2 linked regions of the Oryzias latipes genome follow. The protein of the gene in region 2 purifies or fractionates together with the protein of the main gene of each other region. This does not show direct contact. Links are inferred from orthologs where the notes say so. Each region holds a gene or a part of one and is shown on either strand. Other genes may lie near its edges. The genes, in order: cdc5l and dnajc17.

Evidence for each region.
Region 1: the proteins of dnajc17 (region 2) and cdc5l purify together in Homo sapiens (affinity purification with mass spectrometry; 3 studies listed by BioGRID and IntAct, with this or other methods). This does not show direct contact. The link is inferred for Oryzias latipes from reciprocal best matches to the Homo sapiens genes DNAJC17 and CDC5L.

Annotation. Positions count from the first base shown.
Region 1 is NC_019873.2:1,350,997-1,354,679, reverse strand, and holds part of cdc5l (cell division cycle 5-like protein), read left to right. Parts: coding exon 1-9; intron 10-88; coding exon 89-215; intron 216-307; coding exon 308-399; intron 400-475; coding exon 476-620; intron 621-693; coding exon 694-885; intron 886-3,626; coding exon 3,627-3,683.
Region 2 is NC_019880.2:14,608,564-14,612,389, forward strand, and holds part of dnajc17 (dnaJ homolog subfamily C member 17), read right to left. Parts: intron 3,556-3,826; coding exon 3,436-3,555; intron 1-3,435. UniProt on the Homo sapiens protein: May negatively affect PAX8-induced thyroglobulin/TG transcription.

The sequences.
Region 1 (3,683 bases), on a different chromosome or scaffold from region 2:
GGAGGCCAGGTCATCCTTCATATGATGAAAACCTCCAAAGCTGTTGTTTCCTGATCAAATAACACGGTATGACTTGGTTCTGCTGCAGGCGTTTGGCTGCCCTGCAGAAACGCAGGGAGCTGAGAGCAGCAGGAATTGCTGTTGCGAGGAAGAGGAAGAAGAAGCGAGGAGTGGACTACAATGCTGAAATCCCGTTTGAAAAGAAGCCCGCTCCGGTACTGTCAGATGAGCTCCAGCTCCCATCAACAACCCATGAACCCACAACAGCAGAGCACAACCTGAAGCTGTGTGCTTGATGTGTTTGAAGGGTTTCTATGACACCAGCATGGAAAATTACGAAGCGCTGGAGCCCAACTTCAAACGGCTGCGACAGCAGCACCTGGATGGAGAACTACGCAAGTCAGTCCCACCTGCACGGTTTGATGCACTGCAAGGCATGAGCCAAAAACACTCAACCTGTGCTGTTTTGATGCAGTGAGCGTGAAGAGAGGGACCGGAAGAAAGACAAACAGAAAATAAAGAAGAAGAAGGAGAGCGACCTGCCATCTGCCATCCTTCAGACCAGCGGCGTGGCAGAGTTCACCAAGAAACGCTCCAAGCTAGTGCTACCTGCACCTCAGGTACCACACTGACCTGCTCACACACACACACACACACACAGACACACACCCTGACTAGACTCCCCTCTTGTAGATCAGTGATGCTGAGCTGGAGGAAGTGGTCAAACTGGGTGTGGCCAGTGAAGTGGCACGCCAGGCTGCCGAGGAGAGTGAAAGTGGAAACTCCGCCTCCTCCGCCCTTTTGTCAGAGTACAACATCACAAACAACATGGCTGCCGGACTGCGGACCCCTCGCACCCCTGCGGCTCAGGACAGGATAATGCAGGTATCTGAAGAAGGCAGAGGTTTTGCCTTGTTTGTGTCATAATCTGAGGTGATTTCTGTTTGATTTGGGGGTGGGGGTTCTGGATGTTCTCTGGTTCTGAAGAACCAGGCCCAGATATGCTGCATTTAGCTTCTTAATGATTGGACTGATTGCTCTGTGGAACAGTGGCTTTCTCTGTTGAAATGTTTATGCAGGGTTCTCTTTGGCGTGGCTCCTCCCACTATCGTCATGGCGTTGGGTTGTGTTTGCATTTCTCAGTTTGCTTTCATGACAACACGGTACAAACAGCAGGGGGAGCATTGACACCACAAAACCCCCTCTGTGGGGGTTATCCTGTGCCAGAGGTGCAATCTTTAACTTGCTGGTGGCTCCCGTCTGTGAGATGAGTCAAAGTCAGCTTATTGGTCAATATGCTGCACACACGTGATAAACAGCACAGAGGAGATTTCTTTCTCTCAGCCCACAGTGAGAGCAGCCTATAAAAATAACAATAAGGATAAAAACAGCAAGTTCATCTTTCCCGGTTTACCTCGTTCTTTTAGAGCGATCATGCTGCTTTCTTTAAACAGCGCACCCCGTTCTGTGTCCTGATTGGCTGGAGACCCTGTCAATCAATCTCCTCCGTGCCGTGTCTCCTGAACAGAAACGCAGAGCTCTTCAGATCAGAAATCTGTGATCGATCAGATCATTGTTTTCCTTTATAAGATCCTGGATCTAATTTCTATGAAGGTTTGAGAAATTAAACAAAAGACAAGGTGAAAATGTTCATGTCTGTCTGAGAAAAGTGTGTTTATGCAGTGGGGAGTTTTACTGCCATAAATCATAAACGTCTATAATCATTCTCTGTGGATTTCATAGATCACGGTTTTTTATTATTTATATTTTTAGAATGTAACTCCTGCAATAAATGAGGATTACTGGATGAGAAACAGACGTGCAGGACACAGCTGCTCAGCTTTAGCACAAACTGTGAGACGTGAGGAGCTGCAGCCTCAAAGTCTTTATTAGAATAATGACGGGAGAAGATCCACTATTTATTGTTGTTTTTGTGTTTTTTTTAAGATCAGTTATTTATTTTGTTAAAAGGATCATGAATGAATGAAACTTTATTCATTCAGCACTTTATAACTCCTTGAAGGTACCAAAGAGCTTCACAAAAAAAAAGGTCTAAAATGGGAACAAAAGTTTTAAACTAAAAACTGTAGAATATTCTGCTTTAGAATATCATTTTCCTTTCAAATTATTTCATCTACATTCCATGTTATTTCATTCTCACTCCACACATCTGCTCCTGGTCCGGCCCTTCTATTGAATTTTAGAACCCAATGTGGCCCCCCAGTTAAAATAATTGCCCCCCCCCCCCCCCCCCACACACACACACACACTTGCTGCAGTGACGGTATATTAGGTTAGTATCTATAAAAATTGTCTAAGTATACCTAAAATTGTATTTTTTAACATTAACAAAAGAAAACAGCAATGTAAATCCATTTTCAACAAATATTATATTTCTTTAGCCACAGAAACTCTGTTAGTCTAAAACAGAAAAGAAGCTTAAAGAGCCTGAAATAAAAAATCTGTCAGTTATTATTTAAACTAGAAACATTTTGATCAACTGAACCATTTGATGCTGAGAAAAAGAATTCAATCAATAATATTAAATGTAAATTGATCTGAAACATTAACACAGCAGCACCAATAGATTTAATGTTTTTAGTCTGAGGAAATAGATAAAAACATTGTTCTGATTTTATTTCTAAATGATGGATAATTTATGATCTGTGACGCTGTTTTCCTGCATTACCTGCTGTCTGCATGTCAAATACTGACACCAACTAAACAACAGGCAGACAAAGAAAACATTGATGGAAAATAAAAACACGTCATCATAATGTCTACAATAGTTCATAAAGAATGACATTATTAGCATGAGCTAAAGGCACGTGATGATCCTTGTGTTGGGCAATAGAGGCAGCTCTCTGTGTGCTGTGTTCCACTTGCAGCCTGAGCCCACTACCCCTCCCCTCTCCTTCTCACACACGCGTGTGACAGGAGACATGAGCAGCTGCAGGGACGGCAGTTCACAGTTTCAGGCTGTTACAAACTCTGATAGAACAGATCAGGAAACCAACAGTGACACAGATTTTTTTTTCAAGCACTGAGCTGCTGTCACCACCGCCCCCCGTTAAATTTGCGCCCCGGACAATTGCCCATATTACCTGTGCCTAAAACCACTACTACTGCGCGCCCCCCCTGGCACCTTAAGAAGCACTGTGTTAGAGTAACAAGCAACCATATGTTGTCTATGCAACTGTAATTGTCCCTTTAAAAAGTAATAATAAATCAATGAATAAATGAGTTATTTAACATTGAGGAGTAGTTACATTTATTTTTCATTACATTTAGTTACATGTAGAAGTTATATCGGGCCCTTTGAGGACAACCACTATGCTGATGTGGCCCTCAGTGAAAATGAGTCGGACACCCCTGGTTTAAAGTGACAACAGTGCTAAGAAACAGACTGAAGTGTCTCTGGGATGGAGGTGAGGGGTCACCTTCAATCCTGATGGCTTTGCGGGTGGTAAATGTCCGAGAGGCCGGTGAGGGGGACACCGAGGATCTTCTCAGCTGTTCCCACGATGTGCTGCAGGGACTTCCGGCAGCCAACAGCGATGCTGTTGGTGATGAACCTGTCTGTACCACAGAGCCGTGTGAAACACATGTTCCTAAATCTGCCTTAGGAAGCCCAGAACCTGATGGCTCTGACCAACATTGACACCCCTCTGAAGGGGGGGCTC
Region 2 (3,826 bases):
TCTACAGGTGCCAGCACAAGGAGAAAATGTGCAAGTGAACTTTGAAAGCTTGATAACTTTTGGATATGTGGAAAAGGAACAGAAAAATTGCTATATAAAGATGGTTTCTAAACATCTGTTTTGTCAAATTTTTTATGTTAGCCAACATTCAAATTCCTAAAAAAAAAAAAGGGTAACAAAAGTTTTAAAAAAACTAAATCCATGTTAAAACTCACAGATTTTTTAGATTACACTATATTTATCCTAAACTGCATAATAAACATATTCTAATACCAGGCTTAATACTGTCCAAGAATTCATAAATAAAATATGGTACCAGCAGTACAAGTTTGAAATAACTCTAACAACAGAAAAAAAATCTTCTTTATAGTCAAAAGCATATAAAAGACCAAAAGCTGTTGAAGCGGCTGCTCCCAAAAAAAAACCTTACCCGGCTTGATGTGATTGCATCTATAGCATCACATGGCCTTAATGCTTCCATACAAAGAATCCTTTCAATGGAAGAACCTTTCAAGCCCCAGTAAACCAGTGGAAAAAAACAACTCAAAAATGTCCGTCTTGCATCTGGTTCGTGTTGTAACAATGCTGCAATGACTCTGGAAGGAAGAGACATGCACTGACTTAATTCCATTGCATTAGATTTCCTTTAAATAATTGATGGTAAACTGCACAGTAAACCATGAAGCCACTGATTTATGATGGCATCATCTTTCTGGAAGCCATGACTTCAAGTCTGGCAGGGACATAGCAGACTGTCAGGCTATGGATCCACGTTTATGAGAGTCTGAGGGTTCCGTCACAAACTGTGGAATCCACAGTTTGTCAGGCTTTCAGAGACAGTTATACACAGATCCTGGAAGAGATTTTACTTTCATCCATTTTTGCGACCTTTACTGATTTTCTGAAGGCACAAAGGCCACTTTTATTTGAAATGAACCAATTTCATACATCAATTTTAGCTGTTGGTTTCTTTACTGAAAAATGTGATTAATAGCGAAATTAGAATTTATTTTAAAAAAATATTAAGAATTGATAGGACCTGAGGGCTGCACGGTGGTATAGTAGTAAGCATTCCCCTCACAGCAGGATGATCCTGGTTCAAAACCCGGCAGGCACCTTTTTTGTGTGGAGCTTGCATGTTCTGGAGGCACTCTGACTATTTCCACAGTCGAGAAAAATGTATTTTAGGTCAACTGGTGAATCTAAATTCTCACTAGGTGTGAATGTGAGAGTGTGTGGCCCTGCGACTGGGACTGGTGAACCACCAAGGGTGTACCCGCCTTTGCCAAACAGCCGGTGGATAGGCTCCAGCAACCCGGTCTCCCCAAAAGGGTTTGATTGGGTTTAGAAAAACGTCAGAGAGGTAAGAACTGAACTGCAAATAAAACTAGAAGAGGCTGCATTTCCAGAAGAAAATGCAGGGTTGAATGCTATACTGCTGAATAAAAATGAAACGTAAAGGGCAATACTTGGCACACAAAAAAATAGAGAGAAATAATCAAAGCTGACCATAAATAAAGTGAAAACAACACAAAAACAAAAAAGATACTTCTGTAAAAAAAAAAAAACAATGCGATCGCCAGGTATCGAACCAACGAGCTTCTGCGAGGCAAAAGTTTTCAAAGGAATTCCCCATGTATTTCAATGGAGGCAAAAATCCTGGAAATCCTGGAATATCTTGAAAAGTTCAATGATTTGAAGGACCACAAGTCATAGCTGGAAAAAGCTGAACATTTTAATAGTTGAATGGTTAAAATAGCGGAAAATTGTAGAAAGAGTTAAGTCCAAAAATGGCGGAAGATGATATAATTAAGAAGGAAATAAAGAGAAACAGGAAAACAATAATAAAATGAATATTAGGAAAAACTATTGTTCCAATAATATTAATGCATATCGGATTTTCTGGAGGACTCGTGTCTAATAAAATTCTTTATTGTTTATGCAGATACTCCCAACTAGCATGACTCTTTAACTGAATAAGTAAAAATACTGACATAGATCGATATGTCCTCTGCTTTCTGAAAAAATAGAAAAAAAATTAAAGAAATAACTTTTAATAATAGGCTCTGTATGCAAATATTTACACTTCTAAGTACTCTGGAATCCTAAGTGAGTTTTGTCACATCTCTCCCCCACATTAAGTATATCCCTTAGCTCAAAATGTGTGTATCAAGCTAAAAAGAAAAGAAAGTTGAGCTCATCTGTGTCTCTAAGTTCTCTAGACTCACTTTGTCACCAAAGCTGAAGAAGCAGAACCACAAACACTAAGCTCGAACGCGCTTTCGCTGGCTAACGCTGAGGCACCAGGGAGGGATCAGATATTCAGATCCAAGATAAAGTCAAGAAAAGATAACTATGGCGTCTAATTACCTTTTTCTTTCTGAAATGACTCAAGCGTCCACTGATTCAAAGCCAGCTGTAGATGGACACATGCAATTTCTACAATATCGTGTGGCGCCTCTGAGTTGGTTTGAAAATTCCCCTAACATAGTAATGTTTTTGTTCTTGTTTAACTAAAGAAAAACACCAGGAAACCAAGTAACTATAGCAACATTTAAAAAGGATTCGTAAGACAAGTCCCAGTGCTCATACTCAGTGTCAGGCTCTAACCTCAGGCAGGTGGTCTGACGCCACACACCGAGTTGAAGGGTGAAAACCCTTGCTTGCATGTGCAATCCTCATCCTTAAAGCCAAACAATCTAAATAAATTTGGTAAAGCTGGATGCTACTTCCTATTAAACATGAAAAGTTGCTCTATTCTCAGTGGATCCCGTTGAGATCAGTTTGTCCTTGGACAGGAAAACACTGTGTCAGCCATGTAATATAGATATTTTAGGAAGGAAATTATTTCATTATTGATTTTTTTTAAATGACACAATAGATAATTGTGATAAAGAAGAATTACAACAAAAACGGACTCAAAAGAACAGAAATAAAAACCCTGACAACAAAATATTATAACACGAGAATCAATATGATGAATGAGATCACAATGTAAAAGCAGCAGTTTTCATAACTAGCATTACAAGTATAAACCCACTTGGCATCAGCTGAGACATTTAGTCAGTCTCACATGCCAGACATCCATTACTGCAAACTGCCTTCTGGGGCTGTTGTGCAGAGTGAAGAATTCCTGGGGTCTCATAGGTTATTTCCATTAATGAGCGGCCAACAAGGGATTGTGGGCCAGGGCCGAGCCCGGTGCCTCCCGACCCCAAAACAAATAAACTGACGTTCACTTACTCAAAGATTGCTGCGCACGGCCTGACGAGGCAACTGCAAGCCCTGCAGCAATGTTTTCACAACTGATGTGAGAATAAAAACCAAAAGATAGCACAGCTCTTGCTGTGGGTCAAATTTGGAGGCGAATGGGGGTATTTGATGTGCTTGGTGGAAGAGAAAGACAGTAAAGCGTCACCATGTTCAAGAAAGTACCTGTGAGGACAGAAACTGGCCCGATTGAGACGCCTCAGCAACTGGCTCGGGTTTCCCTTCCAGCCATGAAATCTTTATGGGGTTCCCACTTAAGCCACTTTCATTGCTTAAAGCCAGCTCCTATAAGAGGACAAAAGTGTCAACGAATGCTCACATGGATAATCTGTTGGTTTTTCAAATGAAAAAAAGCTCAATTTATCCCAATATTTCATAAAGGATGTTTAAATTTACATAAAAGGAGCTTTTCCAACCAAAAGAGGATTGTTATCAATATTATGATATGATATTAGAGTTTGTACAACAGAAATAAACTTAGAAATGTTGATGCTTTATGTGGTTTAGCACATTTAAGGTAACCATTTCTTGCAATTTTCGCTGTCTTTTGCGATAT